Linked DNA regions of Macaca mulatta. The protein of the gene in region 1 interacts with the protein of each later gene in a pairwise test. Links are inferred from orthologs where the notes say so. Each region holds a gene or a part of one and is shown in the gene's direction. Other genes may lie near its edges. The genes, in order: LIN7A, MPP2, PALS2 and PALS1.

Evidence for each region.
Region 2: the proteins of LIN7A (region 1) and MPP2 interact in binary tests that used the Homo sapiens proteins (3 or more experiments, as listed by UniProt). The two-hybrid records come from large-scale screens. The link is inferred for Macaca mulatta from reciprocal best matches to the Homo sapiens genes LIN7A and MPP2.
Region 3: the proteins of LIN7A (region 1) and PALS2 interact in binary tests that used the Homo sapiens proteins (3 or more experiments, as listed by UniProt). The link is inferred for Macaca mulatta from reciprocal best matches to the Homo sapiens genes LIN7A and PALS2.
Region 4: the proteins of LIN7A (region 1) and PALS1 interact in binary tests that used the Homo sapiens proteins (3 or more experiments, as listed by UniProt). The two-hybrid records come from large-scale screens. The link is inferred for Macaca mulatta from reciprocal best matches to the Homo sapiens genes LIN7A and PALS1.

What each region holds. Positions count from the first base shown.
Region 1 is NC_133416.1:88,055,979-88,064,003, reverse strand, and holds the start of LIN7A (protein lin-7 homolog A), read left to right. Parts: upstream 1-3,205; 5' UTR 3,206-3,417; coding exon 3,418-3,499; intron 3,500-3,706; exon of another isoform or gene 3,707-3,821; coding exon of another isoform or gene 3,822-4,276; intron 4,277-4,420; coding exon of another isoform or gene 4,421-4,604; exon of another isoform or gene 4,605-7,199; intron 7,200-8,025. Other genes in the region: uncharacterized protein LOC114670904, read right to left, coding at 3,822-4,276, 4,421-4,604. UniProt on the Homo sapiens protein: Plays a role in establishing and maintaining the asymmetric distribution of channels and receptors at the plasma membrane of polarized cells.
Region 2 is NC_133421.1:68,313,260-68,321,054, reverse strand, and holds the start of MPP2 (MAGUK p55 subfamily member 2), read left to right. Parts: upstream 1-3,290; 5' UTR 3,291-3,368; intron 3,369-6,881; exon of another isoform or gene 6,882-7,006; intron 7,007-7,403; exon of another isoform or gene 7,404-7,417; coding exon of another isoform or gene 7,418-7,605; intron 7,606-7,710; coding exon of another isoform or gene 7,711-7,791; intron 7,792-7,795. Other genes in the region: PYY (peptide YY), read left to right, coding at 7,418-7,605, 7,711-7,791. UniProt on the Homo sapiens protein: Postsynaptic MAGUK scaffold protein that links CADM1 cell adhesion molecules to core components of the postsynaptic density. In CA1 pyramidal neurons, required for synaptic KCNN2-containing channel function and long-term potentiation expression.
Region 3 is NC_133408.1:103,722,308-103,729,660, reverse strand, and holds part of PALS2 (protein PALS2), read left to right. Parts: intron 1-998; coding exon of another isoform or gene 999-1,040; intron 1,041-2,713; coding exon 2,714-2,845; intron 2,846-4,713; coding exon 4,714-4,813; intron 4,814-5,143; coding exon 5,144-5,212; intron 5,213-7,353.
Region 4 is NC_133412.1:140,406,912-140,414,708, forward strand, and holds the start of PALS1 (protein PALS1), read left to right. Parts: upstream 1-2,350; 5' UTR 2,351-2,440; exon of another isoform or gene 2,441-2,599; intron 2,600-2,925; exon of another isoform or gene 2,926-3,048; intron 3,049-7,797. UniProt on the Homo sapiens protein: Plays a role in tight junction biogenesis and in the establishment of cell polarity in epithelial cells.

The sequences.
Region 1 (8,025 bases):
ACTCTGAAATAAAAGGCTGAAATAACTAAATCTTCAACAACATAGAATAAAGTGCTATGAGGCCGGGAGTGGTGGCTCAGGCCTGTAATCCCAGCACTTTGGGAGGCTGAGGCATAGGGATCACTTGAGGTCAGGAGTTTGAGACCATCCTGACCAATATGGTGAAACCCCGGCTCCACAAAAATTAGCCAGGCGTGGTGGTGGCCGCCTGTAGGCCCAAGTATTCGTGAGGCTGAGTCAGGAGAATTGCTTGAACCCCAGGAGTGGAGATTACAGTGAGCAGAGATCATGCCACAGCCTGTGCGACAGAGTGAGACTCCATCTCAAAAAAAACAAAAAAAAACAAAAAAAACAGAGTGTGATGTTTCTTAGTGGAAATCACAGGAGATCGTGAAGGTGAAGCCAGGTGCTACTATTCTTAAGCAAGTTTTGTAAACTCTGTGAGCTTCAGTTTACCTATCTCCAAAATGGCATAAACATACCTACTTTTCTGGGCTGGAAAGAAAGGGAAAGAGAGACCAACCTAGCACCAAGTCTGGCACATATACGTGCTCACTAAGTATTTATTGAACTAGTTAACGCCATGAAAATATAGTTACTACTGAACTAAATTTCTACGTATCATTTAATGAAAGAGTGTAGTGATTTTGTAATCAAATAGCTAAGATAAAAGCATAATTAACAAATATTTTAACAATTCTCAGGTTAATACACAAAGCAAAGCAAATGGCATTTGACTAAGTCAAGTATATCCCTGCATGTCTCAAAAAGAAATTCACAAATATTATTGGAGAGATATTATTTCTTGATAAAAACAAATCTAATGGATAATGAATTATTATTAAATTTTCTATACCTGTGCAGACATAAGCTAAAGGGAATGCACTTTCCACTACTAAAAATAATAACAGATGAATTTATGGTGATTTATGCTTCCTCTTAATTTCTCTTTTAATCTTGATTTAAAAACAGCAACAACAACCCTACAGAGTCAACACAGAGAAAGAATGACAGAGCAAATTTTCAAATAGGAAGCTCAAGGCATAAGTCCAGAAATACGCTATGAAATGTTTGGTCCTGAGGATGCATCAGGAAACAAAAAGACAAAAAAACTCTACCTTCATTGACACCACAATCAGGGATTTGTGTTGGAACAGGTACAATTTATGACTTTTGGGCTGATGAATCAAGCTGCTTAAATACATATTCCCTAATAAAGGATGTTGTAAAATAACTACATTAGAAGTCAAGGGATCTGTATGTTCTTTTATCCTCAGTTACTGAGTGAGGTTTAATAATTTTATGCAAAAGCTTAGAACACACTCTGGTATCATTGAGCTCATCTCAACTTCTTTCTGTTGCTTAATTCAGGGAATGTGAATAATGGTAACAAACCAAAGTTGCTTTTTCAACCTCTGGCCTCCAAGAGCACCTCCTTTCAATAATGCTTAGAGTACTTACCGCACAGAAGTTTATGGTTTGCTCACCATCTCTCAAGCAAGACTGGGCAGAGTGGGCCGACTCAATCTTTGCATGGTTAGCACCTAGCACAGAGCTTACCACATGGCTCCAGGGGATGTATGCTTGTACAAATAAATTTGTATATTCTTTACTGTTTTCAAAGCACAATCACATGTATGAGTCCATTAGTCCCTCACAAATCTCAGTGAGATTGCAAGGTAGAATTTGTTTCCTCATATGACAGAATCTCTTTGAGGTTGAATAATATTTTCACCGTATGACAGAGGAGGAAACAGGATCAGTGAGAAATTGTGTGACTTCTGAAGAGCACATAACTAAGACTCAAATGTCAAGACCAGCATTCTTCCTTAAATACTAAATAAAAATAAGCATATTGAACTACTATTTTAGGTTTGTTTTTAGGGTCTGTTAAGTCTATATATGGCCAATCATCTTTGGCTTTCCCACATTGGTGAAATGTTGCTTTTTAAAATTCAATTGTAGACTATAAAATGAAAAAGACCTTCAGAAACCATATCTGTAATCAGAAGAAAATGGCATCAATTATATGCAAATATTTTGCTATAAAACTGTATCTGCCTTTTAGAGTTTATTGCTAGCCCAAACAATTCAGCTCTGTCACAGGGAACAAGATGGAGGCAGCTTTGTCATTTCCAATCCTGCACCCACAGTCACCCCTATTCAGCTTATAGAAGGTTTCTTTATGTCAGGAAATGAATCCCTACTATGACAAGATAGTGAAAGTAGCCTTTTTATTGGGGCGAAGAGGTCACAGTCAGTATTTGAAGGCTCTTGTAATTTAATCCTGATCAACTGGCTCTAAAGTCAAGCTTTTAATAACACCATCTCCCACTAGATTACAGGCTACAGGAAGTCAGAGACTAAATTGAACTCCTAAATCAAGGCGTGGCACAAGGCAATGTAACTCTTCTATCTCAATTCCTGGCATATTTGTTAATCAATAAGTGACATCTCTGACCCACTGGTTAGAAATCAACATGAAAAGTGCTAGGCACATATTTTTCAAACTAAGTGATAGACAACCAAAATCAGTTTGGACATTAAGAGCAAAGTTTTTGTTGAGTGGCTGGGCGGGAGTGGGACATGTTTACAAGACGTGGTATGTAAAAAATTTGGAGAAAATCTGAACACTCTACTTGTTTCTGAGCTACATTTACTGAATTGGTAATGTATTAACAGTGGCTTGAAAAAGAAAAGAAAACTTAGGGATAGAAACTTACCCCCATGCTTTTTATTTTGAAGCACTTCTAAGAGGTTTGCTATATTTTTTTTTTCCAGGCAATATACTCAGATCCTAAATGAACATCTACTGATGGAACTCTGGCCTTTAGTCAGTTATCTTTATATGCCGTTATAGGTCAACATTCCGAAAAACTTCAACAGAAATTAACTGCAAATGTAATTGCATCCCAAACATTTCTGACACTGAAGCATTTTCTCTCTAAAGGAGATGGGATTATTGGATTGGCAATTTCTCTTAATCTGAGAAAACTCATCTCCCACTCCCTCCCCCATATCCCCTTTCTATCCTCTCTCTTCCCCTGACACACACGCACACGCATGCACACACGTATATTCTGACCATTTTATTAGAGTGGAAAGTTGAAAGAAAGCAGTCCGCCAGCTACACCCACCCAGTGCTCCTGGGGGTGGAATAGCAAAGTTCCAGGGCAGAGCCTTCCCTCCCAGAGCCCGGCGATGCAGTCGCTCTCGGATACCTGCTCAGCTCCGCACCGCAACTGAAAGATCTGCCGCCGCGGAACAGTTGCCTCTCCATCTGGCTACCAACCCACCCAAGCTTTCTTCTCCACCACCACCACCTTCTTTCTTCCCCCTCCTCCCCCTCCTTTCCGTCTTCCCTCTCCACCCCCGCCCCCAATCTCCTCCTTTTTTTCTCACTACGAGCGGTTGCTGATGCTGAAGCCGAGCGTCACTTCGGCTCCCACGGCAGACATGGCGACATTGACAGTGGTCCAGCCGCTCACCCTGGACAGAGGTAAGGGAGCGGCTCGCTAGCCAGGCCACCGCGTCCCCTCTCCCCTCCGCCCTCCCCCGCCTGCCAATTCCCACCGGGACACGGGACGCGCTCGGGCCGGGGGAGAAGGGGAGCGAGGACGAGCCAGGAAGACGTTCGCGCCTAGAGCAGGACACTTTCTTCCCTTCTCTCTCCCCGCTACATCCCCGCTGCCCCTTCCCACTGTACTCGCCCCGCCGAGGGGACTCCTCCTTCTGGCTCTAGGGTCCCCGCTGCCACTCCCAGTCCCTCGCCGGGTCGTCTCCGGGCCTCTGGCTTTGTTGGAGCGGCTGCTTGGGGACGGCTAGGCGCCAGGGGCTCGGGGTTGGAGAGGGGCAGAGAGCAAGCTCGCCCGGCCGGAGCCCAGAGGAGACCGGCGAGGGAGCCGCCTGTCAGCCTGCTCGGCGCGGGGGCGCGGGAGGAAGGAAGTTTGTCCAGGCGCCGGAGGGCGAGGGTCGGTCCAACTGCTGGAGTCAGGGCGGCCGCTCGGGGGGCGGGCTGGGCGCACCCCGGGGCGGCCGGGCGCACAGTGGCGGGGCTGCAGCAGGCAGGTAGCTGCCCTCCGCCGAAAGGGCAAGGCAGAGCGCGGGGAGCCGAGCCCCAGCAGCCGAGTTCGGCTCTCCCCGGCTTCGCGTTCGAAAGCGGCGAGGGTCGCGTCTGCTCCCGCCGCCGGCAGCTCCCAGTCGGTAGCAACTCTCGGCTTCTCCCGCGCCAGCCTCTCTCGTCCTCTCCCAGCTCTGTGCCACCGCGGCGCCCGGGCTGCGGAAGGCGCGGGGACAAAGCGCAGGTCGGGTTAAAATTCAACTTCTGACCTGCGACCCAGTCAGTCCTGCTCTCTGACCCGAATGGGGAAAGTGTTCTCTTCCTCCCCAGGACGCCCCCACCAAGCTCAGGGATGGAGACCTCTGCTGCGATCCGGGCCTCGCTGGTGCACCCGCGCGGGGTTATACCTGTCCCTGAGTGTATGGGTTTCCTTCCTGGCTTCCAACGTCCAGTGATGAAGGCGCTCGAGTCCCACGGCTCTGCAGAGGAGGACACCCGCTAGTCCCTCTCCGCAGCCGCCGGATTTAGGACCCTGGGCGGCCATTTGGAAATTGTGTGCTCAGAAGAAAAATGATTTAGTCCGATGTACCTCTAAAAATTTTCTTTCTAGAGGATTAAACTGAACGGTGGGGCAAGGCAAAAGAGCATCCTGCTGGGAGTACAGTGACAAAGCCAGTGAACTCAGTTTGAGGTTTTTAATTTGAAGAGACTGTGGGTGACTTTACGCAATCTGTTGGCGCCAGAGCAGATGTTATGTGGTGCCCATAGCAACCTTTCTTAGGATAAGAGTTGAAAAATAAAATGTAATTGATTTTATATTAGAAAATGTTGATTTGCAAGCTGGCAAAATTAATAACAGTAGTTAAAGACCTCAGAAATCCATTGTATAATCCATGATCTTACCCACAATATCATCATCTGCACTAAGCAGGATAAATCCATTGCCGGTAAGAACCAAACAGATGGCAAGCTATCAGAAACTATGGGCTTCCCAAGTATTTATGTTTTAATGTGATGTGCTCTTATATTGTCCCATTACAAAATCACAGTCATTAAACATCCCAAACCAAGTGACTACATTAGGAGCAAAAACTCCAAGAAGATTGCATACTTGAGTCATTTTATATACTACCACTACTACTACTAATAAAAATATTTCAATGTTTGGTTTTTACCCTAGCCCTTAGATGCCTCAGTCAGTTGTTGAGAGGAGGTGCTAATCGGACTAAGATTTATTCTTAAAGTTTGTTCTTGTTCACAACCAAACTCTACTTGTCCTTCTGAGTGTGATTACGCCCATGGAGTAGCTCAGGAGGCAAACAGGGTTACCCTGTGGATAGGTCTGAAAAAATTCACCAGCAGCTCATGAAAATCTATAACCAAGAGATGATGGGTTATTGGCATCACCACTGAGCATAAAGTCAATATAAATAAATAATTGTTCTCTGTACCTTATTAAAATATGATTAATTGATTACTTTCATTATTAAACTGATGAAAGAAAAGGTTCTAAAAATTTCCCTGCAAAAAAAGGTGCATTTTAAAAGAGGCAGCCCAGTATTACATATCTGGGTCCCAGTTGTAACTCTGATACTCACTCTGCATATATGAGCCTCTTTGGACATCAGATTCTCTCTGTGCCACATCAGGAGTTTGAATTAGATGATTCTAACACTGTGCAGCTTTAGCAGTCTATAATTCAATTAATTAGAGTTAGGACTCAGTTTTTGGTCACCTACTGGGAGATTTTCCAGATCACCTCTCTCCCAGGCTGCTTTGGTACCCTTTGATATGCTTTAAATTGACTTGCTGCTTTGGCCCCATTAAAGCATTTATCACACTCTGTTGCATTTGTCTCCCTATTGGATGGAACTCCTTGAGGGAAGAGACCATTTCTAAATTCATCTTTGAATTCTCAGTGTCTGCCATAGTCCCTGACTCACAGTACAATAAAAAATTAATGTTTAGTTGGGGTAAGTAAACTCAGGATAGCAGTAACTTAAGCAATGTTAAAATATAGTGATTTGCTAGTGAACTGAGGTGCATTTCATAGATTCACAGTATTTTGGACATGGAAAGGATGATAGTGATAACATAGGCCAGAGATTCTCAACCTAGCCTTCCCCTTATACACTTGATGGATTCCCATCAGTAACAGTAGCTCACCAAAACTGTGACATTTAACCAAGAGAAATTGTGGCAGGTGGGCAAAGGAGAAGAAGGGAAGAAGGTGATGGACAAAGCCTCCCAAGGGCATCCCAGCAAATCTGAATATATAATCTATAATTTTAGAGCTGCTAGTTCTTTTTTGGTATCTTCATTTTACAAATGAAAAAGCATGAAAAAGTGAAGATAAGAGATGTTTTCAAGGTTGCTCTGTTTAGTGGAAATTTTATGTTAAAATTGAATTACTTTTTGTTTGCTACCCTTTGACATCATACATGGATATAGTCTTCAGGGCGAACGTTTTAAGCAAACAAATCAAAGCTAGGGATCAAAATTAAGATTTACTGCTTTCCAAATTTGAAAGATATATCTGAAAGTAAGAAACTCAGAAGTCTCCACCTAGCTTCTTGGGTCTGCTCTGGGAAGTAAGCTTTTTCAAGGTCCAGGCTGGGCCCCAAAAGGATGAACAAGGTGATTTCAGACTTCCATGGCTCTGTGCCTATCCAAAACTCTTTTTGATCTGCCATTAAGACCTGAGATCAACCCTGTAAAGTCCTCTGGGTGGCTATGGTCATTGTAAGTTCTTGTTGACTTTGGTCCCAGTCCTTGATATCCTTCACTTAATGAGTACCTATCATAAGCCAGAACCTATTATGGAATTGGTACACACTGGTGTGATAAAAAGATATAATTCTACTTTTCACTGTAATTAGAACCTACTAGGAGAGGGAGATTAAAATACACACAGAGGCAAATATTAATTCATTCAACATTCATTTTTCACCTACTATATGCAAGATGCTTGAGGAATACCAGAAACAAAAGTTCCTGCTTTTGTGGTCCTTACGAGTCTAATGGAAGAGACGGATGATAAGTAAGGGCTTAATTAATTAATTTAACAAATAAGTATTGTGCACCAGACTTATGCCAAACATTGCTTTATACACTGTGCCAGTGCTAATGAACAAAATAAATAAAATCTAATGGCATTTGCATGCTAATGAGAGTCACACAATGAACACATACATATACAACGACAAGTGCCAAGGAGAAGAAATAAAACTGGGTAAATGAGAGTGCTGTAAATGGGGGCTGCTGTTTTAGATGTGTTAGTAAGGGAACACTCTCCTGAGTCAGTGACATTTGAGAAGAGCCCTGTAGAAAGTGAGGAGACAAAGTTGCAGATACCTGGGGAAATGTCCTCAGCAGGGGGAACTCCTGTGCATACTGGGAACATCCAGGAAGGTCAATGTGAAAAGTGAGAGAGGGAAGAATATGAAAAATGGGATGCGTGAAGTTGGTAGCCAGGGGTCAGTTGATGTAACTCATAACTAGAATTTCAGATTATTTGAAAATTTGAAGTGCTCTGAAGAAAATAAACATGTGGTTGGAATAGAGAATAATGGAGAAGGGCCTGTTTGGTTAGCATTGGTCGAGGAAGGCTCACTGAGAAAGCAAAATTTAAACTGTGTTTTGGTATATTAGATTAGTAAGATCCTTAAGATTCTGGAGAGAGTGAAGAGTATACATAAAAGCAGGTCCACAGTCACAACTTGTCTGTCATTCAGTTTATACATTTATAACCAAGAAAATGATTAAAAACTGAAATTACCAAGAAATAATAACACATTAATTATGCATCCTGGGGTAGAAATTTAATTATATATGCCAAGAAAATCTATAGATCAGCTTTTTGCTTCTTTGTATTGCAAGACTAAAACATCATATATTATAATTAGATTTTCAGAAATATACTGAGCACTGTAATTTACATGTCACTATGCATAAATCTACATGTT
Region 2 (7,795 bases), on another chromosome or scaffold:
CAGGCTCAAGCAATCCTCCCACCTCAGCTTCCCAAGTAGCTGTGACTACAGGCACGCACCACCATACCAGGCTAATTTATTTTTTATTGTTTGGGTAGAGACAGGATCCTGCTATGTCGCCCAGGCTGGTCTCAAATTCCTGGGCTCAAGTGTCCTCCCGCCTCGGCCTCCCAAAATGCTGAGATTACAGGTGTGGGCCAGGAACCTGACCTCTACCATACCCAACTCTTAAAGGGCAAAATGCTTGCCCTCTACTTCCTTGTTTCTCATCCCTGTGGCCTGGAATGTGAATGTGGGGTAATAAACACCCTTTTCTTTTCTCTTTTCTTTTTTTTTTCTTTTTTTGAGACGCCAGGCTGGAGTGCAGTGGCTCAATCTCAGCTCACTGCAACCTCCACCTCCCGGGTTCAAGCAATTCTGCTGCCTCAGTCTCCTGAGTAGCTGGGATTACAGGTGCCCGCCACCACTCCCGACTAATTTTTTTGTATTTTTAGTAGAGATGGGGTTTCACCATGTTGGCCAGGCTGGTCTCCAACTCCTGACCTCAGGTGCCCCACCCACCTCGGCCTCCCAAAGTGCTGGTATTACAGGCGTGAGCCACCGCGCCTGGCCAAACATTCTTAAACCATGTAGATGGGTGCATAATCTTGGAGTAACAAGATAGATGGTGCTTGGGCTCCTTGTAGATCAGAGGCACCATACCTCCTGGCTGCCAGCTTGGTCTCTTACATGAGAGAGAAATAAACATCTATGATATTTAAGCTATTGCTATTTGGTATCTATTAAGGCAGGTGCAGGAATATCTTAACTAATATGTTCACAAGTTGACTGATTCGATAACCTAGGAGCCCACCACGTGCCAGTATCACATCAGATGCCAGGAGCCACGAAGACACAAGTCCACAAGGGCCTGGTGAATAAGGGAGCCGACTGTGTCTGACATAGGTCAGAACTGTTCCTCCTTGAATCCATACCTCTTTCAGGACTTGAGTTTCTGCACCTACAGCACAGGCCTCTTGAGACTGTTGGGCCCTTGAAAAAGTTTTGGATTCAAACAGGAGCTCATCTGAGAACAGGAGCACTCATGTGGAGGGGATGTGCACAGAACTCCCAGGGGCTGGAGCCCAGGGACCCTCACAGTATCTGATTTCAGGCTTCGCAACACACACCAGCATTTTATTTTTATTGTTTTTCGTTTTTGTTTTTGTTTTTTTTTTGAGATGGAATTTCGCTCTGTCACTCAGGCTGGAGTGCTGCGGAGCGATCTTGGCTCATTGCAATCTCCGCCTCCCAGGGTCAAGTGATTCTTCTGCCTCAGTCTCCTAAGTAGCTGGGATTATAGGCACGTGCTACCACCATACCCGGCTAACTTTTGTATTTTTAGTACAGACAGGGTTTCGACATGGCCAGGATGGTCTCAAACTCCTGGCTTCAGGTGATCCGCCTGCCTTGATCTCCCAAAGTGCGGGGATTATAGGCATGAGCCACTGCAACCAGCCTATTTTTATGGGTTTTAAAAAATTCTTTGGTTGCTATTTAAGCCATTAAATAGAAATACCCTTTAAACATTCAAACTATATTGGAAATATATAAAGTACTGGAGAAGCCCTTGTTTTGGTATAAACAGGTCTGAGTCATTGACCAGTGTTTTGAAAAAGTCAGTTTAAGTAGGCAGTCATAAAAACACATACAGGTCTTAGTCACTTTGTTTTGACTTCAAACACAAAATACACATTCAGGCACAAATTTTTCTTTGGGTATCTTGACTCAAATCCGCCTTTGACTTTCTTGCATAAATCACACCCACAATCCTATAATTTGTCACCTATTATTTCCAATTTATTTAAACTTAAAGACACTTGTGAAGCAATCTGATGTAGCACACGTCTAGATTTTTAGGATTTTCCCTTAATAGTTTATCTTTCACACCTAATTCAACATGTCAGCAAATCTCTTTGTGTATTACTTCCAAAGCACTTAACGTAGTTTGCAAGGAAACAATTCTTTATGCACTCATATTTCATCAGTTTATATAATATTTAATTCAATTATATGATTACAATGACGAATACACCTGGCATAAACAGGCTAGGGACACATCCAACCAACAGACAACTCAACCCAGAGGTAGTTGAGTTCTTGCTTTTCTAGACCAGGAGTCAGCAAACTATAGCTCTGTGGGCCTGTTTTTGTACATTCTATGGGTTAAAATGCCTTTTAGGGGCCAGGTGTGGTGGCTCACACCCGTAATCCCAGCGCTTTGAGAGGCCAAGGCAGGCAGATCACTTGAGGCTGGGAGTTGGAGACCAGCCCGGCCAACATGGTGAAACCCCGTCTCTACTAAAAATACAAAAATTAGCCAGGCGTGGTGGCATGTGCCTGTAATCCCAGCTACTCAGGAGGTTGAGGCAGGAGAATCTCTTGAACCCGGGAGGCAGAGGTTGCAGTGAGCTGAGATTATGCTGCTGCACTCCAGTCTGGGTGACACAGCAAGACTCTGTCTCAAATTAAAAAAAAAAAAAGCCTTTTAGGCCAGGCACAGTGACTCATGCCTATAATCTCAGCATTTGGGGTGGCTGAGGCCCGAGGATCCCTTGAGTTCAATAATAATGAAAAGAATGGCTTTTAAAGTGGTTGAATCTGTAAGCGGTTAAAATAAACTAAAAAAAATTTTATGACATGAAAATTACATAAAATTCAAACTTCAACATCTGTAAGTAAAGATTTACTGAAGCACTACCATGCCCTTTTTTTTTTTTTTTTTTTTTTTTGGTGTATTCCATGGCTGCTTTCAAGCTACAGTGGATGAACCTAACGGTGTCAATAGAAACTGTATGGACCACAAAGCCTAAAATATTTGCTATCTGGTCCTTTACAGAGTTTGCCTACCTCTGTTCTAGAGCGAAGCCTGAGCCTTGAGCACGCACCACACCATAGGTATCTGTTACTGTTTTGCAGAAGCTTCAGGTAAGAGGGAGGGCTCCTAGGGGAGCTCCTACCATCAAAAGTGAAAATCCCTTCCTTCTTGGCATTGCTGTTTCCTAAACCCACGCCCCACTCTTCCCAAGGTAGCTTCATGGTTTGCTTCCTCACTTCCTTCCTGGGCTCAAGTGATCCTCCCACCTTGATCTCCCAGCACACTGGGATTACAGATGTGAGCCCCTACAGCCAGCTCTCATTTTTCTCTATAGCACTTACCAGACATATTTCATGCTTATTTATTTATGTATTTATTCATTTATGTGAGACAGATTCTCACTCTGTCACCAAGGCTGGAGTGCAGTCGCACCATCTCGGCTCACTGCAATCTCCGCTCCTTGGGTTCAAGTGATCCTTGTGCCTCAGTCTCCCGAGTAGCTGGATTACAGGTGCCCGCGACCGCGCCTGGCTACTTTTTGTAGTTTTAGTAGAGACAGGGTTTCACCATGTTGACCAGGCTGGTCTTGAACTCCTAACCTCAGATGATCCACCTGCCTCGGCCTCCCAAAGTGCTGGGATTACAGGCGTGAGCCACCGCACCCAGCCTCCATGCTTATTTATTTTCTATTTCCTGTCGCTAGAATGTGAGCTCTATGAGAGCAAGGATTTTGCCTGTTTGTTCACTGCTCTATCCCAGTGCCTAGATCAGTGCCTGGCACACAGCAGGGACTTAATAAGTGCTTATTGTGTGAGGATTGAATTACTCTTTTTATTTTCTTTCTGAGATAGAGTCTCGCTCTGTCACCCAGGCTGGAGTGCAGTGGCGCGACCTTGGCTCACTGCAACCTCTGCCTCTCGGATTCAAGCAATTCTCCTGCTTCAGCTTCCCAAGTAGCTGGGACTACAGGCACGCGCCATGACACCTGGCTAATTTTTGTATTTTTAGTAGAGATGGGGTTTCACCATGTTGGCCAGGCTGGTCTGGAACTCCTGACCTCGTGATTCACTCGCCTGGGCCTCCCAAAGTGCTGAGCCACCACACTTGGCCTGAATTACACTTGCTGTATGACAACCTGCTGTCTGCAGGACCCTGGGCATAAGGAAATGCCTGAGGGTGGAAAGCAGTGGAGCAGTGCTGCACAGTGCATGGTGATCAAAGAGAGGCCTTGTGTGCGGAGTGGGTACAGGCAGGTGGGTGATGGGGTACAGAATTCTAAGCCTCTGGGGATGAATGGCAGAGGCTACACCATCTTGATGAGTGGCCCTTGAGCCCACTGGACAAGGAGAATTGTTGGCTGGGGTCCAGGTCCATGGTCTCCCTGACTTGGGGTGGCCTTGCCAGGTGGTCTCAGAATGGGGACCAAAGGAACCCTTTGATTCTGTCCCCTCCCCCTTTGATTCTGTCCCCTACCCTTCAAAGACAAACTGGAGGCAGGTCCTGGTCTCACTTGGGACCTGGGATCACTTCTACAAAAACGATTGTTTCTGAAGTTTCCCCCCTCACACCGCAGACATGTCTCATGGCCACTGAGTCATGCAGCAATGATGGGTGTGGGTGTGTGGATGGGGGGTGGCTGAGCCCATTGATCGAGGGCTGAGACATCTTCCCCGCTAATCAACAAGTTAATAAGCTCTTCAATGAGGAGGCGGTGATTAATGAACCAATCAGCTTGCCCTGTAATTGGGGACTAAGATTGGAGGGTGGGGGTATGATGGATAGAGACGGTTTGCAGGGATGTGCGGCTGGCTCCTGGTCCACACTGAGACCACCTAGGGGCCCATTTACTTTGGCTATAAATGAGGAAGTGACTTCTTCAGAGGTTGTAGCCTGAATTTAGGCCACCCCATGCCCTCTAGCTTCTACAGTGTCTGTCCTCTCTTCCCATCTGTCCTTGGACTCCACGCTCCCCAAGACATAACAGGGTTCCAGGGATGTCAGATTCCCTGTGGCCATCTCACAGGTTCCTTCTTCTCTCTGCCTGGGATCGGTGCACTAGAAACCCCCTACAACCACCAGGGTTAGTGCTGCAGGATCAGAAGAGCAAATACCTACTCTCTGGTATCCTTGCCCCTGTTAGCCTGCAGGGTCCTTCTCTAGGCCCTGACCCCTGGGATCACAGATGTCCTAACCAGCCCCCACTGCCCCCTCCATCCTAGGGTGAGCGCCTGTCTTTTGTCTTTCCATGGAGGAATGGAATTCTTTGATTTCCGCTGTCTCCCCTCCAAACAGGACAAAGGCTGTGTCTCTGTATCTATGTTCTGGGAACCCCTCAGACTAGGGCTCCCCTATGACATGACCATGTCTCTCCTTTGAGACTGGGGTTCTTAAAGGACAGGGGTGTGCCTTGCCCCCTGGATGAGGGCTTCCTAAAAGGAATGATTTTTCTCCTCCCTCCAAGGGCAGGATCTGTGTCCCCTTGTCCTGGTGTCCTCTTCCACCCCCATGCTCAGCAGGGCACCCTGGTGTTTCCTGGGATGTGGAGTCCCACGGGGCCTGACTGGCTGATAAGGAGCCATTTCCGGAGAATGCAGGTGATTGAACCCATAAAAGGGTGACAGAGAGCCCTGAACTCCCCATCTCAGGAGAGCTCTAAAAATAGCGCCAACAGCCATCTGTCCTGGGGCTGGAGGGGCTGGCTCAGCACCAAGGGCCTGGACAAGTTGGCCCTGTCAGCCCCCATGGGCCAGGGAGAGGAAGCTGGAAGGACTTTATGGGGAGACCTTCCCACAGCCCTTTCTCCTCCTGGGCAGGTGGGTTTGAGGGGGTTGGCAGTCCGGAGGCCCTTCCCCTACTTGGCCTCTCAGAGTGGGTGGTGGGCCCCAGGCTTAGTCTTCGGGTCCCTGCTCCCAGGCCTGCCTCTGGCGCCCCAATGGCTACTCCAGGTGCTGAGCCTTTCTGCCCCTCACAATTGAGAGGTCCTCTTCCTGGGGTCTGCCTCACCCTCCTTTTCCTGTTTGAATCGTGGGTGACCTTGGCTGCTCCATCACCTCCCAGGACTTCAGTTTGCTCATCTGGAAAATGGAGATACACTCAGTTCATCGTCTTGTGATGCCTGAAATTACGCACTACCTGGTGCACAGTAGGTGCTTAATAAACATGAGTCCTTTCCTTCAAAGGATCTGGGCTTAGAGCCCAGTGGAAACTGCCATGGGCCGGGGACAGTGGCATGTGCCTGGGAAGCCTTGGCATCACTCAGGCCCAGAAGACACCAGTGCCCCGAATGACACCTGCATAGGGGTGGAGACACTCTGCCTTGGGAGGGGGCTCTATGCCACACATGGCTGGACCGGGGTCTGTGTGTGCCAGTCTGGATACATAGGTGGCCAACTCAGCTGCTTCTGGTGGGGGGATTGGCTTCTGCCTCCGCCTGCCTCTCTTCCAACTCTTTAATAGAGAGAGGACATAATGGAGTGTTCAGAGAGGCCTTTCCCCCAAGACACCATAAACTGCAGGTCAGGAGCCAAGGTCAGGTGCTCCCACCCTGTCTCCAGGACACTTTCCCCAAGAGGTCCTGTCACTCCTCAGCCCTTCTCCAAACCCTTTGAGCAGAGGCTGAAAAGGGTCGTCTTTTGGAAAGAGTGGTCGTAGATCCCACAGACTGGAGGGAATGTGTCCACCCTCCCACCCCCAACTCCCACCCACGGACAGGCTAGGGAAGACAGAATCTCAACTCTGGTCTTAGCGGCTGCCCCAGGAGTCTAGACCCAACCGCTTCACTTCCTCAGGAGACTAGACCTGCCACTGGGGGGCTGTGGGGTGAATATGGGGTTCAGGCTGGGTACCCCATCCAGTGAGACCCCGAATCTGAGCATGGCAGCTGCCCCCTCAGCTCCTGCGAGGTGGAGACATCACACACTGGCTGCGTATAAGCTCAGTGATCTGGCGAGGGTGGAAGGAGGGAGGAAGAAGGGCCCACCCCCTACTGGCTCCCCCTCCCCCAGGACTCCCCCTCCCTTTCTAGGCGGGGATATAAGCCCCACAAGGAAAGCGCTGAGCAGAGGAGGCCTCAGCTTGACCTGCTGCAGTGCAGCCCTTGGGACTTCCTCGCCTTCCACCTCCTGCTCATCTGCTTCACAAGCTATCGCTGTGAGTGGCTGGGGGCTCAAACATGGTCTGCTACCAGGAAACCCAGGGTGTTTTGTGGGGAAACTGAGGATGGGTGGTGGAAGCTGGGGGTGAGTGGTAGGAAACTGGATTGGAGGGGGCCATTGGAGGTGGGAAGGAGGCCTGGGAGTCCCGTTGCCAGCAACTAACTCTCTGGGCAGCAGCGGGAGTGGGGGTGGGGAGGCAGGCAGGGCTTATGCCCCTCTCACAGATGAGGAAACTGAGTCAGGAGACGGTGCAGTGCCCGAGAACACACAGCAAGCCAGTGGCTGAGCCTTGGTCCGGTACCAGCCCCAGGAAGAGCGTCGGAGCGCGGCCCCGACGGCAGCCGCAGCCTCCCGCCCTGGAGGGTCGAGGCTTGGAATGACCCATCCCCCAGTATCGCCTTCCCAGATGGTGCTCGTGCGCAGGCCGTGGCCCGCCTTGGCCACAGTGATTCTGGCCCTGCTCGTCTGCCTGGGGGCTCTGGTCGACGCCTACCCCATCAAACCCGAGGCTCCTGGCGAAGACGCCTCCCCGGAGGAGCTGAGCCGCTACTACGCCTCCCTGCGCCACTACCTCAACCTGGTCACCCGGCAGCGGTGAGCGTGGTCGCGGAGCGGGACCCCTGGGGCTCTCACTTTGTGGCCCCGCTCCACCTGGGGGCGTGGCCAGATCTGACCACGCTCTTCCCGCCCCGCCCCCAGGTATGGGAAAAGAGACGGCCCGGACGCGCTCCTTTCCAAAACGTTCTTCCCCGACGGCGAGAACCGCCCCATCAGGTCGCGGTAA
Region 3 (7,353 bases), on another chromosome or scaffold:
TAACCCACAGTTCTTTTATAGAAGGTTATAAAATACAAGGATTTCTGCTAATCTGATAGGAAAAAAGTGTTAATAAAGTAGTTTTAATTTGTATTTCTACTCTGAATGAGGTTGTTGAACATCTCTTATGCTTAAAAGCCATTTGTACTTCCTTTTCCTTATACTTTAAATTGTTTTGGTCATTCAGTTGTTTTTAGTAATAAGAATATGAAATAGATATTTTAGTAGGTGGTGTTTAGTCATTTCTTAATGATGAATGAGCAGTTAACATCCATAGCCTGTAAGTGCAACACTTTAAATTGCATTTAATAAAATATAATTATACTAAGTCTAGTCATATCTTTAATGGTTTTAGAGTCATTACAAAATGGTTAGATCAAAGGTTGGGTTAATTGATTTTTCAGAAAAATTTTCGAAGTTCAAAGTAAAATCAGGTTAATCTGAGTTTTTGACCTTAAGACTAATGTTCTAAAACTACTTTAATAAATGAAAAAAAAAATAGAAATTATTCTAGAAATCTTTTACCTTTGAGAGATGTGGTTTGTATTCCACAAATAATGGCATGTCCATAACAATTCCATGGATGTTGGAGGAATGAATATTTGAAATTTGGACTATCTTGTAAAGTCTGAGCTTTATGGTTACAAAATATATTCTGTTCCACACATAAGAATGGTAATCACATTCGTGGTTAGATGACAGGATTCTCTTGCTATTCTTCAATCATTGCATCTTTCTTGAGAAGTAAGGAGTATGCAGGTATTTTTATAACTTTGCATACCAATCCTTTCTTTCTGCCTGATCTCAAATACCTTTAACTTTTTGTTCTATCATTTGTAACTTGCAGGTATTATACTTTGTGGACAATTAATTAGGGAGGTAGTTGCCTTACCAAATGAGTGAAGTAATAAAATGGTCTAGTAGTTTGTTTATATTTTCTTAATTTATTATAAATTAAAAGTCTGGCTTTATTTATGCAATTACAAATATATTTTTAGAGTTGCATCAGTATGGAGAGGCATCCAGCACAGATCCATCAGGTATGCTGTCATTCCAGAACATTCTCTGGTACTTCATTTTTCTGTCTTAGCCAACTAAATTTTCTTTGATTAAATTTAATTATTTTGGTTTTTTCCTGTTTTCAAAACATGGAGCTGCATGACATTATCAAGTTAGCCAATTGTCACACTTTAGCAATCTTAATGTTTGTATGCTTGCTTTTTAGATCTAAAATTATATATCAGGAAAAAAAATTATTGACTTACTGATTTAAGGATTAATATTTAGCTTTTCTAGAGTAGTTGAAAATGTTCTGAATGCTTTCTGTGAAAATCATCTAATTATAAATAACTAAGATTTTATTACATGTTCCCAGATTTAGTTATTTTAAAATTATTTTGTATGCATTGATCACAGTACTTTTACCACACTAATAATATAATATGTCTACTTGTGTTATTTGAATTTTGTTTGGTTACAGAAGTATGATAAACAAATAGAAAAAGAACATTGTTATTTTGACTAATTGTGTGCTTTCTTGCTTATTACAGTTTACATGCTGATTAATGCTAAGGCAGTTCTTTAGAAGATAACATTTGAATTTCTATAAATATGTATAAAACAAGTCTGTTTTAAGAAAGCAATTGGGCTGGGCACAGTGGCTTATGCCTGTAATCCCCATACTTTGGGAGGCCAAGGAGGGCAGATCGCTTGAGATCAGGAATTTGAGACCATCCTGGCCAACATGGTGAAACCTGATCTCTACTAAAAATACAAAAATTAGCCAGGCGTGGTGGCACATGCCTGTAATTTCAGCTATTTGGGAGGCTGAGGCAGGAGAATCACTTGAACCTGGGAGACAGAGGTTGCAGTGAGCAGAGATCACGCCACTGCACTCCAGCCTGGGTAAAAGAGTGAGACTCTATCTGAAAAAAGAAAAAAGAAAGCAATTGGTCTGAACTTTCCATCAAATACCAAAAATGCATAATTTAATTAGAATTTAAATTAAAGCAAATAAGCCAAATAGTCCCAATTTTGGAGATCATAACTAACAGTGTAAACTGACATACTTTTATTAATAAAGCAAATGTGAAAGAAATGTATGTACACAAATGAATTTAAAATGGAAAATAGTTTCAAGACTTTTTCAGTATTTGTCTTACAATGGAATTTAATGTTGATCATTTAAATTTAAAATGAGCATATAAATCAGAGCAAGATGATTCAAGAAAAGTATTTAAGACTACCAAATATATTTCATATCTGACTTCGACATGAACTTTTATTGTTTAATTTTGGTTTCAGGGCCTTTTCACAAAGTTCTAATACATCTGAAATATAAACCTTAAATCAACTACCTGTATTATTTCAGGATGTTAATTGGATCATAGCATTTGCTTGCTTTAAGAATTATGCAGTGTTGGTTGGAAAATCAAGTGAAAAGATTGAAGGAAAGTGGAAGAATGGTGGGATAGAATGATTATCAAACTCTTGTTGATTTAAAGTTAGATATTAGAGATGAAGTTTTATTATCTTTGATACCAAAATCTGTTAATATTCTAATAACTTGATTTCCATTTATGAGAGACAAGTTCATTATCTGAAGTACTAAATACATTTTCAGTTACAATTAAATCAGTGGTTTGACAAGGATTTTTTAAATTCAGTGGAAGTGATATAACTATAGTATTTTTAATTGTGCTGTGTGTTTTAGGTATTTGTGAAGTGTCATTTTGATTATAATCCATACAATGATAACCTAATACCTTGCAAAGAAGCAGGATTGAAGTTTTCCAAAGGAGAAATTCTTCAGATTGTAAATAGAGAAGATCCAAATTGGTGGCAGGTTAGTATGCTTCTCAGAAGTTCCTCAACGACTTTTCTAATTTTAATCTTAGATCTGGTTAATATCTGAATATTCAGGAAGAATATTAGCATTTGTTACAATGATTTTTCCCACATGAACAGCTCCTGCTTCATGGCTACTAATTTTGTGGACATAAGATCAAATTGGGAGGGAATTTGTAAGTAGCTCTTAATAAGTGCAGAATTAACCAGCCTGTGGCACTAACCAGTTGGTTTAGGGAATAGACCAGTTGGTTTTTTTCACATGGGTAATTGCATTAAAATATGCTATTGACCAAGAAGAACTCACTTGGGTCATCCCTTTTAAAAAGATATTTGGGTTTTGTTTATTTTAAGTAGGAGTCTTTTACTATGAAGTAGGTCTTTCTCTTGTCTCCTCTCCCTCATGTTCGTTCATAGCAAGTAAAGCATAATTTCTTAAGGTCTTAATGTCTATTTGCTCACCTCTTCTCAGATACTGGGAAATGGAGATTCACTCTATCAGTTTTGTTAGGTTTTAGATTAAAATCCGTGTATATGGAAAGAGATGTGTATTATCACTGCATTTTTCCCTCCTTTTTTCAGAAGATCTGTTTAATGGTATTCTTTTTTCTTCTCCTCATGTAGCTTTCAGAAACCCCTAGCAGCAGTAATAAGTCTGTTTTTGTAATTGTTTATATTAGCTAACAACCACAGTATTCAGAACTGGAGAAACTGACAAGTCAGGAAGTCTGAAATGCCTTAAACTATCAAAGCAAATGAGAGTTTTACTAAAGAACAAGAAGTAAGAGGAAAGGATCCAGGACTTAGCACCAAATTCTAAAATTAACTGAGATATTGGTACTCACATTAGCTCTAAAATATAGATCTACTTCTAAGGAGAAACAAATCACAGAATGAGAGCAGTCTTACTAATGTGTCCTTTAAATTAAGACATTATTGCGTATAGGTGCACTGTGTGTTGAGACAGCTAAGAAATGGGTAAATTAAACAATCTATGATTTCAAGAGGTTTCCCCTGAACTTTTTAGATCCCTCATTTAAAAAATCTCTCTGTGGCTGTGTCCTTTATTGAATTATTCTAGTTTTCCTTCTTTTTTCTTTTTCCTATGAATGTGATCTCTTAGTTTTCTCTTCTAACCTCAATTCTTCTCTCAATTTCTCCCTGCATTTTGATGGTTGGTTACTTTAATTCTGTTTTTCAGGATTTTAATTGCTAAAAGTTATACTAGATTTTCTATGCTAGTTGTAAGGTTAGAAATACTAACTTTGTGAGATAAATCACTAACAGCCAGTTCTCCAGCCACTGTTTTAAAATATTTCTTTGGAGCTTATTTTAAAAGTTAGCTATTTCACGTTAGGTAAAGTTTTGCCTAGTTTAAATTTACAAACTCTTGGGATATTCATACTCCTGGTAGCATAGATTAAAATCTACACTTTATATTCCAAATAGTATCTCCTTTTCATTTGATTTGGCCTGAAATACCAACATAGTAGGATTAAGGTTGACAGTAAATGTCTTTTAAAGGGTGCTAGATAAAATGTCGTGTTAATACATCTTATTATAGAATAGCGTTTATTTTCCTTTTCCAACTTAGTATTATAAATAAGAAGTTTAAGCAATTTAACTTGTATTTTGGTCCCCAAATTTCACTACCAGATATCAGATATGAAGAATTTTAGGTGCCAATTGATTCCTCAGTGCTGAATTGTTTAAGTATCTTAACTGACAATGCTATGGATGTAAATCTCAAGGTTGTTTTTAAAAGCAAATATGACTTTTTTTAACTGACCACTGCTTGTCCTACTTAATAGAATATGGTCTCAAATTTTGGTCACTGAGATATACAATTCGTTAATTTGATTCTAGGCTAGCCATGTAAAAGAGGGAGGAAGCGCTGGTCTCATTCCAAGCCAGTTCCTGGAAGAGAAGAGAAAGGCATTTGTTAGAAGAGACTGGGACAATTCAGGTGATGAGCTCGACAAAATAAGTAACAAGCAGTCCTTTGTGACCACCTTTCTTTGTCTCTCTTGTCTAAATAAGCAAATGCATTTATTTAAAATATGTCTAGAATGAATCCCTCCCTCTACTTTAGCTCTCATAAGTAATCTTTTTGATCCCGTTCTGCCACCTGCTGGTAGAGTATCAAAATTCAGTGGCTTAACTCACCCCCACCCTCTTTTGCTTCCTAGGATGCAACATTGGGAAGATAATTCTCCCACCCCTATAAAATACTACAGGGCAATTTTTTCATGTTCTGACATACTACTTAAGTTATATTTGTTTTATCATCCTTCAGGACCTTTTTGTGGAACTATAAGTAGCAAAAAAAAGAAGAAGATGATGTATCTCACAACCAGAAATGCAGGTAGGTTTTAAATACTTTTTGAGAAGTCCAAGTGAAGTAGCTATATGTCATTTAGTGTGGCATAAACTCTGAATATACAGCTTTAAGTGAATGTAATTCAGATTAGTACCTAGTTGCAAGGGACTGGCATATGAACACATGGTGCAATATAATATAAATTATTTAAATCCTGGCATTATATATACTACGATGTGCTTTATTTTGTGAGTATAGTTATAACAAAACAAATTGGTTAGGATTTTTACTTGTCTTAATGAAGAAGCAGTATTATAATTGAAACTATTTGTCCAGAGAATTTTGAAATAGTAATTTATGTGCCATTTCTAAAGGGTAGAATGCCTTTGTCAAGATGTTAAAAGAGTTATGTTTAAGGGCAACTGTATCCTGCTATAACACTGACCATGGTACTTTTAGAAAAATAGCACTGGACCACATGAATCTTGGTCTGATATAATAGAATTCCTTCTTAAATCTTTTAGTCATGCAGAAAGAAATATTTTTAAAAAGAAAGATATGGTAACTGTGTGAGAAAGAAATATTTTTAAAAAGAAAGATATGGTAACTGTGTGAGATGATGAATATGTTTAATAGCTTGATTGAGGTAATCATTCACAGTGTACACATTCATGAAAACATCAAGTTGTACACTTCATATACAATTCCTATTTGTCAGTTATACCTCAGTAGAGCTGAAAGGATTTTTAAAAACAATTTAGAATAAAACCCCAGACCTGTATTGGCTACTCATTTGAAGTTAAAAATAAATAAATAAAAAGGAAGGAAGGGAAAGAATGGAAACTACTATATTTATTCTTCCCAGTTGCAGAGGATGACAGGAGTAAAAAGCAGCTCTATGAATCAGAAATTTCTGGAGGCTTAATCAAAGCAGTTGGCAATTTTAAAAGTACTTTCTTGACTTCAGAGCTACCTCTATGCTGGTAATAAACTAAACAGCACACCCTAAAAGAAAATAATATAGAAGGCAGAAGTAGGCTTGTTTTCTCTTAATATTGGTTTAATCTACTGTGGGGAAATTGTGCAAAGAAAGAGTTGCTATTAGGATAATAAGCTAAGGAAGGAGTGTTATTACTACAGATTGAGAGTTACAGTAACAACAGGTAATATAATATTTCAAATCATCACTTTGGCCCTATTCTTCATAAAATATATGCCCATAAGGCTTTTTTTGCAAAATAGAAAATTCATAATTTGCCCACTAAGATTATACTTTTGGATTATGTTTCTAGTGAAAACAGTGTATCTAAAATTTGTTTTATATGTAAATTTCAAAATCTTAATATTTAAATGTATGTTGTCAGTAAATGTCAGTATGTTGAATTTTCTAATCAAACTGATAATTGTAGATTTGCCATACAATATTCATTTATATAATTGGAAGGTCACTCGTTCCATGGAACTTAAGCAACCACACTAGGTTTGCTCCTGTCCTCTGTATTTGATACATACTTTCTATATAAACTGGTCTGTAATTTGATTATTTATATTAAAGGATTTCTACTGACAAATTGATAATAGATTTCAGTGGATAGAATCTCTGATAAATAAGGATAAAACATAGAATTTTTCTAGCTTGATTAATCAGACTAATTTTTTCTTTTTTTTTTTTTTTGAGACAGAGTCTCGCTCTGTCACCAGGCTGGAGTGCAGTGGCATAATCTCGGCTTACTGCAGTCTCCACTTCCTGGGTTCAAGTGATTCTCCTACCCCAGCCTCCCGAGTAGCTGGGACTACAGGTGCGCACCACCATGCCCAGCTAATTTTTTGTATTTTTTTAGTAGATACAGGGTTTCACCATGTTGGCCAGGATGGTCTCGATTTCTTGACCTCGTGATCCCACCACCTCAACCTCCAAAAGTGCTGGGATTACAGACATGAGCCACCATGCCTGGCCCGATTAGACAAATTTTTAAGGGCAAATGGATGGACCAGGTGTTTAAAGCAAGATATAAAATAATTTACTGGGCCAGGCACAGTGGCTCATGCCTACAATCCCAGCACTTTGAGAGGCTGAGGCAGGAGGATCACTTGAGGCCAGTAGTTTGAGACCAGCCTGGGCAACATACCAAGATCCCGTCTCTACAAAAGAAATTAAAAATTAGCTGGGTATGGTGGCCCATGCC
Region 4 (7,797 bases), on another chromosome or scaffold:
ACCAGGTCAGGAGATCAAGACCATCCTGGCTAACACGGTGAAACCTCGTCTCTACTAAAAAAATACAAAAAAGTAGCCGGGAGTGGTGGCGGGCGCCTGTAGTCCCAGCTACTCGGGAGGCTGAGGCAGGAGAATGGCGTAAACCTGGGAGGCGGAGCTTGCAGGGAGCCAAGATCGCGCCGCTGCACTCCAGCCTGGGCAACAGAGCGAGACACCGTCTCAAAAAAAAAAAGAAAGAAAGAAAAAAGAAAAACTGCCTGGGGCCAAGAGATTAGAAGTTATGGATAAAGATATACTATCTTTCCAAAGAGGTCCTTTCTTTGAACAGCTAGATCTGCAGTTCTTACCTGAAGATGATTTTGCCCATCTCTCCCCATGAGCTTTGGTAATGTCTGGAGACGTTTCTGATTGTCACATTGGGGAGGGTGATGCTACTGGCACCTAGCGGGTAGAGGCTGGGGATGCTCCTAAACATCCTATGATGCACAGGACAGTCCCCACAAGAATTATCCAGCCCAAATGTCAATAGTGCCAAAGATGAGAAATATATAAGCTAGAGAAAGAAGAATTCATTGAGGAGCTGGAGGAAGCTTCTTGAATTATTATTTATGTTATATATTTAAGAACTTAGAGGCTGGGCACAGTGGCTCACGCCTGTAATCCTAGCACTTTGGAAGGCTGAGAAAGGTGGATTACCTGAGGTCAGGAATTCAAGACCAGCTTGGCCAATGTGGCGAAACCCCGTCTCTCCTAACAATACAAAAATTAGCCGGGCGTGGTGGCGGGCACCTGCAATCCCAGATACTGGGCAGGCTGAGGGAGGAGAATCGCTTGAACCCGGGGAGCAGAGGTTGCAGCGATCCAAGATCGTGCCACTTTACTCCAGCCTGGACAAAAGAGCAAAACCCCCTCTCAAACAAAAACAAAAACAAACGAACTTAGAAAAGGAAGTAAGTCAAACACACTAACCGTTTTTTTCCTTTTGGGGTATGGCTAATAGTTTCTAGGAATCCTGGAGACTTTATCTGGATTTCAGTTAGGCATTTCGCCAGTTCTGGCATCTTTGTGGAGGAATATGGGCCAAGAAGACAGTTCGGTTGTGTCGTCCATCTGTATTCGAAGCCTACTGAGAAATTTTTTGATGACAGGAGCATTAAGGTCTTTAGTGGCATACAGCAGACTTCTGTCCTCAGCTCTGTCTTATTAAACACTTGGACAGAATGCTTATCAGATTTGAGAGGGATAACAAATCTGGGAAGGGTAGGCATCCCCAAAGATCTTCACCACCACGAACAATAGTTTGCTTCGTTCAGAGCATCACAGTGTCCTTAGTGAGGGACACTAACAATCCATAGGCTGTCCAGAGGAGCGTAATGGGGAAGAATGTGAAAGAACTTGAAAGTCAGGACCTGAGGACGTTGCGAGATGGAAAAACACAGTGGGACAAAATGAGGAAAACCGAGAGAAATGGAAATGGCATATACGAAGGCTTTGAGGGAGGACTATGCCCCCTGGGGGAAACCGTACACCTCGGCTGGAATCATAAGCATATTTTGGCCTCATAGAAGGAGAGGTCGATTAACAAACCTTGCAAGGGTTCAAAGGTGGGATGGGCTTCCTCGGAAGGTACTGTCAAGACAGAGACCATCCGAGGGCTTTTATTGCAAGTGTCGAGACACATTTGCTGGTATTTCTCCTTAGAACGTACTCCAATCTGCTCTGACTTCCGCCCGCACCCGCCAGAGCCCTGCCCCATTCCAAGGGTGGCACATCCAGGTCCCGAGGGCGCCAGCCATGCCCGGGACATGGGCTGGTCTGCGTAACTCTCTGTCCCTTCGGGAGACTTCTGGGAAATAGTTCTAGTCCTTGCCATCCTTGCTTTCTGGTTTTCAGAAGTCAGTGCTGCTGGTGGCTTTCTGGAGTCTTCTGTGGAACACTGCACACATCCAGGTGTTTACGTCATTTTTTTTAAAAAAAGAAATGTTAGATTGTGAGACTAACTAGACAGGACATGAGGAATCTCTTCAGGAGGACTCGGATTTTCTTCAGGAGCCGTCATCCAGAGACAGAACAGCCAAGGGATGTAGAAACCCAGGGAAGCCTCGCGTCCCCACACAGCCCGCGGGCCAAACCCCGAAGCGGCTCCGCAGGGACAGCCAGCTCCTAGCAGCCCGGGTTTTAGACTTAGAGGCGCGCGACTGCGCGCACCCGGCGGGAGCTGTGGAGAGGACCAATGACCGGGCGCTCTCTCCGCGCCGGCTCGGGATTGGGCGAGCCGCGCCAGCCTCTCACGGGCGGGGTGGGACTGGGATCCGCGCGCCCGCTGCGCCAGAGTCCCGGGGGCGCGTGCGCGGTCTCGCGGCGGCCGCAGGGGCCGGTCTCGCGCGGTCTAGAAGTGGAGTTGCTGGCGGCTGCGGCGGCGACGGCGGCGACGGAGGAGGTTGGCGGTGGGGCGGGGGCGGGGACTAAGGATTCTGAGGTGGGGAGTCGGGAGTTTCTGGATTCTTTATCCGGTATTTTAAGGGCCGCCGGAGAGCTGTCGCTTCTGCAGTGCTTAGGAGCAGCCGGGCGGGAGGCTCCGCGGAGCCGAGGCGCGGAGGTAAGAGGTGGTTCGGCGGCGGCTGGGCTGTGGAGATCTTAATCAACAGGTCCCCGGGAGCGCGGCGGGGGAGGGGCGGCCGGGCTCCCCTTCCCCCACACGCCGCTCAAACTCTGGCCAGCGGGAGACCCCGGGCCGCCAGGCGGGCTTCCTCAGGCGCGGCAGCTTCGGCGGTGGAGGGTGTGAGCCCAACCTTTGTCCCTCGGAGCAACGCTGCCTGCGCGGTGCCCGCTCCTTCTGCTTGGCTGGGCATGCACCTTGGCGCGGGCCACAGCCAGCCGGGCCCGAGGTGCAGGGGGCGCGGCGGGGAGTCGTCTGCCCCCTGCGCTCCCGCCCCGATGTCGCGACGCGCGGGACTCCCCCCGGCCGGGTCTGGGAATCCGGCGAGGGAACGCTTTCCTTTAGAAGTCAGAATGTAGTCAGCGTTCCTCTGCCTGACTCAGCTGCTGGTATTCTGCTGCCTATTGCGTTCTTAAACAGGCAAACAGTTCCTGCTTCCTTGTGACCAGTTTTAAAGAAAAGCCTAATTTTGTTGATGGTTTCTGATAATTTAAGGTTGCACGTTGAATTTGAAGCCTGTACATTGTTGTATTCTATGTTTAATGAAGGTTGCTTGAAACGATCTTTGTAGTAAATTATGTAACTTTCTAATGATCATAACTCACCTTCTGTTGATTGACGTACAGTAATGTGTATGGAATGTAAGTTTCGGTCGAAAGGTTTTTCTTGGCAGTTTATGCTAAAATTAAAATCTGATGATTGGGAAGATTTTAGACGTAGTATAGAGTGTGTGTTTTGTCTCCATACTTGTTTAGAATAGTAAAAATTTAGATTCGGAAAGTCAGTTGAACAAAAATTTTGAAATTTTGATTTGACACAGTGAAAGGTGTTAATATTTCCGATTTTTTAAAAAAACAATATCATGTTTTAATGATAGTTTACTAATTATGCTTTTGGATTTTACCAGAAGTTAATAACCTGTTAAATTCTGCAGTAGGAACAAATGACGTGTTGGTTATTGGTGTCTTTAAAGTATTGGTGGTAATGAAACTTATTAAATAAGCGTCCTTGAATTAAGAACTACCGATTTTTTTTTTTTTTTTTACTAGATCCCTGTGGACATAGCGTATTGTGGATAGGTTTTATAGGCTTTCTATTTGCAGTAGGATGAGCTATTAAATTATAATGTAAGAGATTTATAGATAAAAAAGGCAACAGTAGGAAAAGCAATTCATTATTTAATCTTTAAAAATCGAGTAAATTTTACCATGTACCTGAATTACTTTTGGCTAGACGGACTTGAACTTGACAAGTTAAGGTGGATTGATTAACATTAACTTGTTTTAGAATGTTAAAACGGGAGAGAATATATAAGTTCTTCCTGAGGGTGACCCAAGTCAGTACAGTGGATTTAGCTTTTACATGATCTTGAATTATGGTTTTGATTAAAAATCTCATCACGGGGTACATGTTTTCAGGATCTCCTGAGGGCTGTCATGGAAAAAATTTAAAAAATAAAATTTTATCACACATTCCAAGAAACTTGATCAATTTAATAGGTTATACTGAGATGCCCTGTTTCTCTGATATTTTCTGATTTCAGAGTGTCTAGAAAAAATAGTGTCTTGACATATGTGCTTTACAATATAATTTTCTTTTCTTTTTCTTTTTCTTTTTTTTTTTGCGAGACAGAGTCTCGCTGTTGCCCAGGCTGGAGTGCAGTGGCGCGATCTTGGCTCACTGCAGTCTCCATCTCCCGGGTTCAACTGATTCTCCTGCCTCAGCCTTCCAGCTAGCTGGGACTACAGGCGCCTGCCACCACACCCGGCTAATTTTTGTATTTTTAGTAGCGACGGGGTTTCACCTGTTGGCCAGGCTGGCCTCGAACTTCTGACCTCAGGTGATCCACCCGCCTCGGCCTCCCGAAGTGCTGGGATTACAGGCGTGGGCCACCGCCAGAATACACACACACACGCACACACACCCCCCGCCAGAATACACACACACACACACACACACACACACACACACACACACATATATCTCACTCAGGCTGTAGTGCAGTGGCGCGATCCCGACTCACTGCAAGCTCCGCCTCCCGGGTTAAGGCCTTTCTCCTGCCTCAGCCTCCCGAGTAGCTGGGACTACAGGCCCACGCCATCATGCCCACCTAATTTTTTGTATTTTTTTTTTTTTAAGTAGAGACGGGGTTTCACCGTGTTAGCCAGGATGATCTCGATTTCCTGACCTCATGATCCGCCCGCCTCTGCCTCCCAAAGTGCTGGGATTACAGGCGTGAGCCTCCACACCCGGCCTTTATAATTTTTGGTCATATATTTACTGAATCATAGGATCGTTGAGTTAGAAGTAATCTTAACCTCTTCATTTTCCACGAAAAAGACAGTGAGGGTTGAAGGAGTTAAGTAATCCGTAGTCTGACTGCTAGTTAGTGGCAGACTTGGAACTACATGAATGCTAAAATGCTTGTCTCCATATTCTAAGTTCACTGCTCTTCTCAGGATGTCTTATTGTTAAACCAGTAAGTTGCCTTCTCCAAATCACTTAACAGGCAGGGTTGATTCTTTCTGTCATGCATTTTTTCCCTTTTCTTTTTTAGTAACCACTAACTGCAATTCATTTCCTTACTGAAGAGTTTTCAGTTTTCTAATATTTCAAACAATGTTTAATGAATATCTTTGTGCATGTCTCCTTGAGCGCATGTGTGGAGGCTTTCCTAGAATGTATGTATACCTACCTATAAGTGGAATTGCTGATAATAGGTTGATACGCGTTTTCAACATTACTAGCTACAGCCAAATTATCCTTTTTAATGCTGTAGCCATTTACATTCCTGCAAACAGTATGAGTGACAGTGGCTTCATGTCCTTGCCCACAATTGGCATTGTAAGATTTAAAAATTTTTGCTAATCTGAGGGATGAGAAATGATATAATTGCTTCCTTTCTTTAAAAAATATTTAATTTACATGAAATGAAATTAACTCTTTTCATTGTACAATTCCAACTCAGAGAGCTGTGCAACTAGCACAATCAAGGTAAAGAACAGTTCCATCACCTATCCATTCACCAGTTGAAGGACATTCGAGTTGTTTTCAGGTTTTTGTGACTGAGTGAAGTTGCTGTAAATCTTTGCAAATAGGTTTTTGTGTAAACCTAAGTTTTTGTTTCTCTTAAGTAAATGGAATGTGGTAGGTATAGCCTACTTTTATCTTAAAATGAAAAAAAAAAGACCTATCTGTGGCAGACAGAATAAAGGTTTTCAAAGATATTCTAGTCCCTGGAACCTGTGAATGTGTTTGCTTACATGGCAAAGGCAAATTAAGGTTGCTAATTAGATGACTTTAGGGAGATTATTGTGGATTATTCAGGTGGTCCCAGTGTGTCACAGAATCTTTAAAAAAAGGAAAGAGAGAGGCAGAAGAGTAGAGTCAGGAAAAAAAGATGTAACAATGGTCAGAGAAGTGCAGAGTTGCTGGCTTTGAAGATGGAGGAGAGCAGGCCACAAATAAGGAATATGAGTGGTCTCTAGACTCTTGAAGAGGCTAGGAAATGGGTTACTCTTTAGAGCCTCCAGAAAAGAAAGCAGCCCTGCCAGTAATTTTAGCCAAGGGAGACATATGCCAGACTTCTAACCTGTAGGACTGTAAAATAATTTCTGTTGTTTTAAGCCACTAAATTTGTGGCAATTTGTTACATTGGCATAGGAAATTAATACACTGTCAAGCTGTGCTTGAAGTGGCTGAACCACTTTGCATTTCCACCAGCAATATATGAGAGGTCCAGTTGCTTTACATTCCTGTCAGCACTTGGTATGGTCAGTCTTTAGGTTTAACCATTTTAATAGTATCTCGTTGGGATTTTTCTTTGCATTTCCCCCATGACTGAGGATGTTGAGCATCTTTTCATGTACTTATTTGCCATCTGTTTATCTTTGATAAAGTGTCTGAAGCTTTTGCCCATTTTTAAATTGGATTGTTATTGCTGAATTTATTATTATCTTATTCTTTTTTCCTTTTTTTTTTTTTTCTTTTTAGGGATGGGGTCTCACTATGTTTCCCAGGCTGGTCTCAGAACTCCTGGGCTCAAGTGATTCTCCTGCCTCCGCCTCCCAAAGTGTTGGGATTACAGGCATGAGCCACTGCCCCAAAAGTTCTTTATAGTCCTTTATCTTTTGTCAGATAGGTGATTTACGAAGGTTTTCTTCCACTCTGGCTTGCCTTTTCATCCTCATAACTTTTATACTTCATTACTTTTGAAGTATAGAAGTTTTAAATTTTGAGAAAGTCCAAATTATTAATTTTTAAAATTCGAATATTGTATCTACGAACTCTTTGCTCAGTCCAAGGTCAGAGAGGTTTTTATCCTATTTTTTTTCCAAGTTTTATATTGTAATTTTATTTTTAGATCTATGTTCCATTTTGAGTTTATTTTCATATAAAATGAGAAAAGTACAGGTTGAGTTTCATTTATTTGTCCAGTTGTTCCATGACCATTTGTTGAAAACGTGATCTTTTTCCCATTGAATTCCCCTTGTCTCTTTGTCAAAAACTATTTGACTACATTTGTTTAGATTTGTTTATGGACCGTTCAATTGATCTATTTTGTCTATCCTTTTTTATTTAGAGACAGAGTCTCTCTCTGTCGCTCAGGCTGGAGTGCAGTGATCTCTGCTCACTGCAGCATTGGCCTCCCAGGTTCAAGCGATCCTCCCAATTAGCTGGGACCACAGGCGTGCCACCACACTTGGCTAAGTTTTAAAATTATTTGTAGAGATGAGGTTTTGGCTATGTTGCCCAGGCTGTATTATTTAAAAAATTTTTGAGACAGGGTCTCACTCTGTTGCCCAGGCTGGAATACAGTGGTGTGAATATGGCTCACTGCAGCCTCAACCTCCTGGATTCAAGCCATCCTCCCCTTGCCCCAGTGGCTGGTACTATAGGTATGCCACCATGCCAGGCCAATTTTTAAAATTTTTTTGTAGAGACAAGATCTCCCTATGTTGCCCAAGCTGGTGTTGAGCATCTGAGCACAAGGGATCCTCCCACCTCAACCTCCAAAAGTGCTAGGATTACAGGGGTTAGCCATCGCACCTGGCCTACTATAGCTTTTTTTTTTTTTTTTTTTTTTTTTTTTTTTTGAGATGGAGTCTCGCTCTATTGCCAGGCTGGAGTCCAGTGGC